Kluyveromyces lactis: one gene and its partner. The protein of the gene in region 1 purifies or fractionates together with the protein of each later gene. This does not show direct contact. Links are inferred from orthologs where the notes say so. Each region holds a gene or a part of one and is shown in the gene's direction. Other genes may lie near its edges.

The links.
Region 2: the proteins of CDC4 (region 1) and CLN3 purify together in Saccharomyces cerevisiae (affinity purification with western blotting; 3 studies listed by BioGRID, with this or other methods). This does not show direct contact. The link is inferred for Kluyveromyces lactis from reciprocal best matches to the Saccharomyces cerevisiae genes CDC4 and CLN3.

The regions. Positions count from the first base shown.
Region 1 is NC_006040.1:647,337-651,289, reverse strand, and holds CDC4 (SCF ubiquitin ligase complex subunit CDC4), read left to right. Parts: upstream 1-1,362; coding exon 1,363-3,306; downstream 3,307-3,953. Other genes in the region: KLLA0_D07568g (FAD-dependent oxidoreductase), read right to left, coding at 1-664; KLLA0_D07524g (uncharacterized protein), read left to right, coding at 3,865-3,953. UniProt on the Saccharomyces cerevisiae protein: Substrate recognition component of a SCF (SKP1-CUL1-F-box protein) E3 ubiquitin-protein ligase complex which mediates the ubiquitination and subsequent proteasomal degradation of target proteins. Recognizes and binds to phosphorylated target proteins.
Region 2 is NC_006039.1:1,108,610-1,112,045, reverse strand, and holds CLN3 (cyclin CLN3), read left to right. Parts: upstream 1-1,452; coding exon 1,453-2,703; downstream 2,704-3,436. UniProt on the Saccharomyces cerevisiae protein: Essential for the control of the cell cycle at the G1/S (start) transition. CLN3 may be an upstream activator of the G1 cyclins which directly catalyze start.

The DNA.
Region 1 (3,953 bases):
ATAAAGTTTGACCTCTGACAAGGAAACATTTAGGATCTAAACCTCCTTCCCATTGTAACCCACAACCTGAAGCATTGACCACAATATTAACATCAGGGTAAAGCTCGCAAATATCTTTTAATTTCTCAAGCTTGATTCTCTTTACTCTAATGTTAACGTTCTGTTGCTCACTCTTTTTCATTACCTGGTCGTAAAGGAACAGTAAATACAATGGAGCATTCAAACACCACGTTTCATAGCTACAACCGAAAGTGACACCTGCAGGCAAGTTGGAATCTTGCTGTTGGAATTTTTCCAAGCTGGATCCATTATACCCTGCTCCTAAGCGTTGGTATTCGATGCTCGGATTTTCTAACCAATCGATCCCGTTCATGAATTCAACAGTGGCCTCACTCAACCACTGCTTAGATTTACGTTTGAAATAGTTATAAGTCACTCTGGTATATTCACTCTCACGTTTATCCGAAGCATAATCAGAATCTCTGTGTGGGAATGGTCTAAAATGAGCACCTGCCCATGGTGATGTGAACGTATGATTGATTGGCTGATCTTGCGGGAATTGTTCGGATACAATTGTTATAGTCCTGATATCGGGTCTTGTTTCCAGTAGTCTCAGCGCACTTGACAAACCAATAACACCGGCACCAACTATACAAACTGACATGCTCCAATATTCTGCTTTCTCAATTAACTAAACCTCGGCCGTGGCTGCCTATTTCCTGTTGTTCAAATTTATGAAACTTCTATTCATATCATATGTAAATCTAGTCAGATGTTTCATTCGATCGTCTTTTATGCAAATTGGAAATCACATTCAAACAAGAAAAGACGACTCAAACCCCCACATCTTAACCCGTAATAAGCAGCCAACTACATAGTGTTTGCGCCGGGAATTAACCAAAAAAATCGGTAGATTAACTAGGAACAGCTTCAAGGCATTTTTGTCCTGTCAGTATCGTATATCACCATTACAACCGAGATCGCTGCTCTGGTAATAATTACATTCTAACACGTGACCTGTGTTGCATGCAAGGTAAATACCTATGTAGGTCTAAAAGATAGAATGGTTTAGCTTAATATATTAGCCTCAAAGCGTTTAATAGCTAACTAATAGATGGCGAGAGTATCTCGCATAGATATAGGGACTGATAACATTGATTCAACAAATCTATGTTTATTTGCACTGTTATCGGCACTCTCAACCAAAATCAAAATTAAACTCTTGTACGATTTCTTTGTACAAAACGAAGTCACATCAACATATTGACTGACAGACGGAATATTGTTTAGCAGAAAGATAAGGAGTAACGGCAGGTGTGGGGTAGTCGTAAGTAACTTCCATTAGTTAAGGGTATAAGTAACATGGATCTCAATAGGCATGCGACCCCAGGGGTACCACAGTATCCTCTACAGAATGTTCCCGTTCCATACCGGTACCAACTTCATCCTCAGCCAGCGTCTCAGAGTAAACGAAGTATACATTATCCCCTTCAACAGCTTGACGACGATTCTGACAGCGACGGTCAGTATCACAAAAAGTTAAAGCCAAATCAGCAGGCTGTTTCCAGTCCCAACTTGATCGAGGATCAAGATGGGCCGTTACCAATATCGCCGATTGCTTCCCCATGTCACACACCTGAAGTGGAGGAACCAAGTATTGACGAAGTCATAGGGACTACAGTAGCTAGACTCAGCAGTACGACATCTCATCCAAATGCTTTAACAAGTCTTATATTTGGGCTTGTTTCCAACATGGATAGAACTCAGCTTTCAGATTTGGTCAGTATAATAACCGATAACTTGAAACGAGATTTGTTCCAATCACTACCTAATGAAATCACTGTGAAGATCCTATTAAATTTATCTTCGGAAGACATCTTCGCATGTTTGTTGGTTAACAGAAATTGGAATAGGTTAATCGAGGAGGCGCCTGTTGTTTGGAAATGGCTAATGCTTAACGAAGGTTTTGTCACCGAAGATCAGTTCCCGTCGTACTGTAACAGTTTGCCCAGTAAATATAAGCATTTGATCAACCCTGACGACAGATTTAGATTAGATTTCCTGGAGAACAACTGGTGTCTCCAGAACTGGTACGATCCAAACTATAAACCAGGGAGGACTTGTCTTGATGGTCATAGTACCAATGTTGTAACATGTCTACAATTTGAAAACAATTATATTATTACCGGAGCAGACGATAAGAAGATCAACGTGTATGACGCTGAGAATGATCTGTTCCTATTAGAATTAAACGGACATGAGGGCGGTGTGTGGGCACTGAAATTTGTGGACGGTAAGATTTTAGTTAGTGGTTCCACAGATAGAAGTGTGAGAATCTGGAACATCGAAACTGGTAAATGTACCCATGTTTTCAAAGGACACACATCGACGGTTAGATGTTTAGAAGTGGTTGAATATGGTGACAGCAAATACATTGTAACGGGGTCTAGAGACAATACCTTGCATGTGTGGAAACTTCCCCCCATGAAAGAGCTAGACAAGGGATCGCAGGAACCTATTTTCTACAGGACACCAGAGGAAAACCCATATTTTGTTGGGGTATTAAGAGGCCACATGTCTTCGGTAAGGACAGTGTCTGGTCATGGTAGAATTGTCATAAGTGGTTCATATGACCACAATTTGATGGTATGGGATATCATTAGTATGAAATTACTATATATTCTAACCGGTCACACCGACCGTGTGTACTCGACCATTTATGACTACAAGAGGAACAGGTGCATATCAGCAAGTATGGATACCACAGTGATGATCTGGGATCTCGAAAACATTGAAAATAATGGGACAACTACTACAATCAATGACGGTGCATCGATCAAAGTGGTTGGAAGCATGAAATGCCTTTATGGACATACAGCTTTAGTTGGTCTACTTTGCCTATCCAATAAATTTTTGGTTAGCGCTGCTGCAGACGGTTCGATACGCGGCTGGGATCCAAATGATTATTCAAGAAAGTTTTCGTTCCATCATACAAACCTGGCTGCTATCACTTCATTCTCCATGAACGATAACATTTTGGTTAGTGGATCGGAACGACAATTCAATGTATATAATTTAAGGACCGGTAAGCTGATACACAGGAAGCTACTCACAGATTCGGAACAAGTGTGGGGTATCAAATTAAATAACAGAAAATTAGTCGCTGCGATCGAGTCAGTGGGACACAGTTACGTAGAAATCTTGGATTTTGCTGCTCGGAATGGTGACAAGACTATCAGAACCCGGACTAGAACAAGAGTCGACCATCAAATATATCGAACGTCACTTTGGTCTTCCACTCTTTAACATTAACTATCAATTTAACTTGCATTACCACATCTGGTATCTCGCCGTATGGAAATATTCTACCATCAAATAAACTCTGTAATACCAATCCTCTGTATCTTTGTTCTCTTCTCTTCTCTTCAATGCCAGCAGACATAAAAAAGTTGTATGATTAATTTATCTACGGCATCACCTATCCCTAAGACATATATAGGAGTTTCAATACTATTTCTACGTGTTACAAACTTTTCAGCCACCCCAGTACTGGTGGATACAGTCGACTACTATACCAGACATATACAGTTCTCAACATTTACCTATCTATGTCTTCTTATCAAGATAGGGTCATCCCTAGGTGTGGAAAATTATGCCAAGGAATTAATCGGGTGTGTTTTGCGATGAGGAAAAAAGTAAGTTGCACATTGAAAAAAATGTCAAATTTACACAATATAAGTACCTCTTTCGATTTTGTCCACCTATTCTTGCAACATTCCAGTGCCTACTCAAGCATAGCGTCTTGGATTGGACTGAATCTTTACCCACTTAAGCACTCCCAAAATACCCCTCCAACACACTGAAATGTCATTGCAGCAAGAAGGATCATCATCGGCGTCATCATCCTCATCGAGAATTAGCCAGAGGAACAAACAAGTTGGGTCTCAGTCTGA
Region 2 (3,436 bases), on another chromosome or scaffold:
TTTCTCGATCACTCTCTTGGGAACTGGTGTGCATTTTCTTTTTAGTGGTGGTATTTTAATACTACGACTGCTTCTTGCATTGGTATATACTTTTTTATTATCGGGCCTATGTGCTTGTATGTCATGGTGCTGCCCTGTTACATATTTTCTTCTTCTTGTTCTTCTTCTTCATCTTCCACTGCCGTTTTTACTCACTCCCATACAGTGCGCAGTAATAGGGAGACTTACGGACAGATAGAGAAGATAGACGGTCAGCAGCCAGCCAGCCAATAATAGCCCACACATACATTTTTTTCCTCTCTCTATTCCTCTTTCGATTTGGTTGATACATTTTGTTAAAATATATTCATTTATATATTGGATCAAAGAAAGTTGGCCTTCCACTTCACTCTACTTTGTTGTTAGAAACTTCACTACTGTTTCTCATATTAGATACTGTTGATATACTACAGTGTCCAAGAACAATACTTTAGTGGGAGCCTAATCATAGCTTCAGGTAATTGCTACTCCCATCCTCTCCTTTTTTTTATTTTGGTATTACTGCTGTTCTTTACACTTTTTTTTTCCTTCAGTTTTTTGGGGCTTTGTCTTAAGTGTTTGAGTAATAGGTTTCTTAAGATTGTTATAGGAAGTCCTCATTGCCAATTGCACCGCTTCAAACTACATCCCATTTCACGTTCTTTCTTCAATACCATTCGAAATAGAGAAGACTGTTATCAAGAGGTACTTTTTCTTTCACTACACTTATTTCTGTCTAATTACTCTAGTTCAGTGATTATAATTTAATAAGCTTTTTCACTACTGCATTCCCATCCCACTCACTACTTTTGCTGGTACAGAAGATCCTCGATAAAACTTTTGAAGAATAAACAGTTATTAACTTTTCATTCGCTTCAAATTTTTCTTTCATCCATACAACACACTTGCTTTCTTTCATCCACCATCATATCATATTCGCATATCCTGGCCGCTGCAGAGGTTATTTCTTTGACTGTATCATTGTTAAGAATCTGATCTCCGTTATAAAACCTGATACTCAATCCTAACATCCGGTCTGCTCATATCAAGTTGTTTCTTGCTTTCACTTTTTCTATCGCTAAACAGAGGAAGACTTTCATAACAACTACCCCGCAAAGATTATAGAAAAGAATCACTCTTTTGCTTGTTAATTGAATCCTCATAGTCGATCTACAATCGTCTCAGGGTAGAATAACAAAAAGTAGAACGTCGCACTACATTACACTTTAACGGCTAAACGTTTTGTTACGTTTGAGTCATTCAGCTGGTCTGTCCCAATTTTTTATTCGTTTTCTCTTATCTTCCCTCAATTCTCAATACATTGTGGCTTTAGTTGTGAAATAGAATTATCTGCCCTTCTACAATACTCCTTTGATATTCTCTTTGTTCAAAATAAAGTTCACTTAAACAAATACAATCTATTTTTATTTATACATGATGTCAAATCTGACCATGGTAGATTCAAACTATATGAATTGCATAAGAAGGTCGATTTGGAATGAGAAAGCTTCTAATCCAAATTTGATTGAGATGGAATTGAAATCTCACAAAGCTACGATTAATGAAAATGCATCCACAATCTTCTCTAGATTGGTTGAAAATGAATCCAGCACAACAGTTTCTATGAAATGTTTTAAGTCCCAACCTGAAATCAATTTTCAAATGAGATCCTTGATTTTTGATTTCATCATGTGCTGTCACATCAGATTGAAACTTTCAACACCAACTCTTTTCCTATGTTTTAATATTATCGATAGATATTGTTCTAAAATCATCGTCAAGTCTTCTACTTACCAACTTTTAGGTTTATGTTCTCTATGGTTGGCATCTAAATACACGGACAAAAAGCAAAAAATTCCTTCATTACCTACTTTACAAAGCTTATGTTGCAACCAATATACCAAAGAGCAATTCAAGGAAATGGAACTTCACATTTGTCAGAGTCTCAACTGGACAATGTGTCACGGACCCAGTTTGGATTCTTTCTTGGATATCTTGGTAAGGGGAAATACGTTCCAAAACAACGAAACAGATTGTTCTGCCATGAAACTTGGAGCGTTGATACTATGCCAGCTTTGTTGCTTCAACCCAACCCTCTCATTCACTAACTCTTCTAGCTCCATTGCTCTGGCGTGCTTATCTATCACGAAATATGCACTATTGTCCTCCAAGTTTAATACCTTTGTTAACTTCGAAACAATGATGTCCAATGACAAACCAGACCCGAAACTAATCAATCTAATGAAGTCCATATTGGAAGTAATCAACGTTGCTGATATTCCATCTAGTTTCAAGCTTAGGTATTATGTCAACGATGTTCAGCATCCAATTTTGAAGTGTCTATTCTCCTATAAGACATATTGGAAAGATCACTTGTCAAGAATTGAATATTCTACATTGATGTCCCCATTGGTACCGGATTACAATCATAAAGATCGTCTGTCCCCAAAATCACTCCAAATGGATTCAATGAGATGGATGCAAATCCCCCCTACTCCTACGACTACTCCCTCCACACCGACATTGGCCAAATCCTCCAGGCCGTCATTACCAACATCATCGTCACATCACCCGAGCGGATCGTTCAGAAGACATTTCAAGAGAGATTCATCAACCATGGATATCGATTTCTTCGAACAAGAGCCCATCCAGCATGTCAAAAGAGGGAAAGTTGGAGAATGTTAACACGAAGACTGTTAATCTCGATAAACCCATTCATATCACTTACATAGAGAAGAATAGTGTTAAACACTTTTTTAGCATACAAAATTGATATTTGATCTATTTTTAACCTTACTATCTAACGAACTCAAATTTGCTTCCATTGACCTAAGAGCTCAACTTCTGATCACAGAAAGTTAATCGCATAGATCACTTCGACCTGGTATCATGTGTCATGGCAAGACGACATAAAAGCAACAAATTTTCTCACCTGGTGTGTCAATTGAAAAGAGCAATATTAAGATACAAATCCAAGAGGTTTTTTGAGTCGTTAGCCATCCCTATCAAATAGCAAGAAATACTGTGTAGTATGAGTAGTAGTACTACCACTACACTACTATCGTTGTTGTGTTAATGAATAGGCTATCAATGATATTTCACGAGACTTCTTTTTTCTCGCTTGCGCTTATCTGCCGATAAATATAAATCATGAAAGTCAATTTCTCTCCACTGGCAACAACATCCTTGTAAATAACAAGAAAATATGATGAAACAGATAGAAAAGTCTCTCACAACATTCTGGACGATAGTACTTTTCTATTCTCATTTACCCCTCCGCTTTGTCTCAAGTCCTAATATCAGGTGTGCAGTTTAAATGAAATCCAGTGGTATTTCCCGATATGGTTTTTGCCAAAAAGGGTATTCACTTACTGTAGTAATCCCAAAAGAATCTCCAATCTAGAAATTTTTTTTCGTG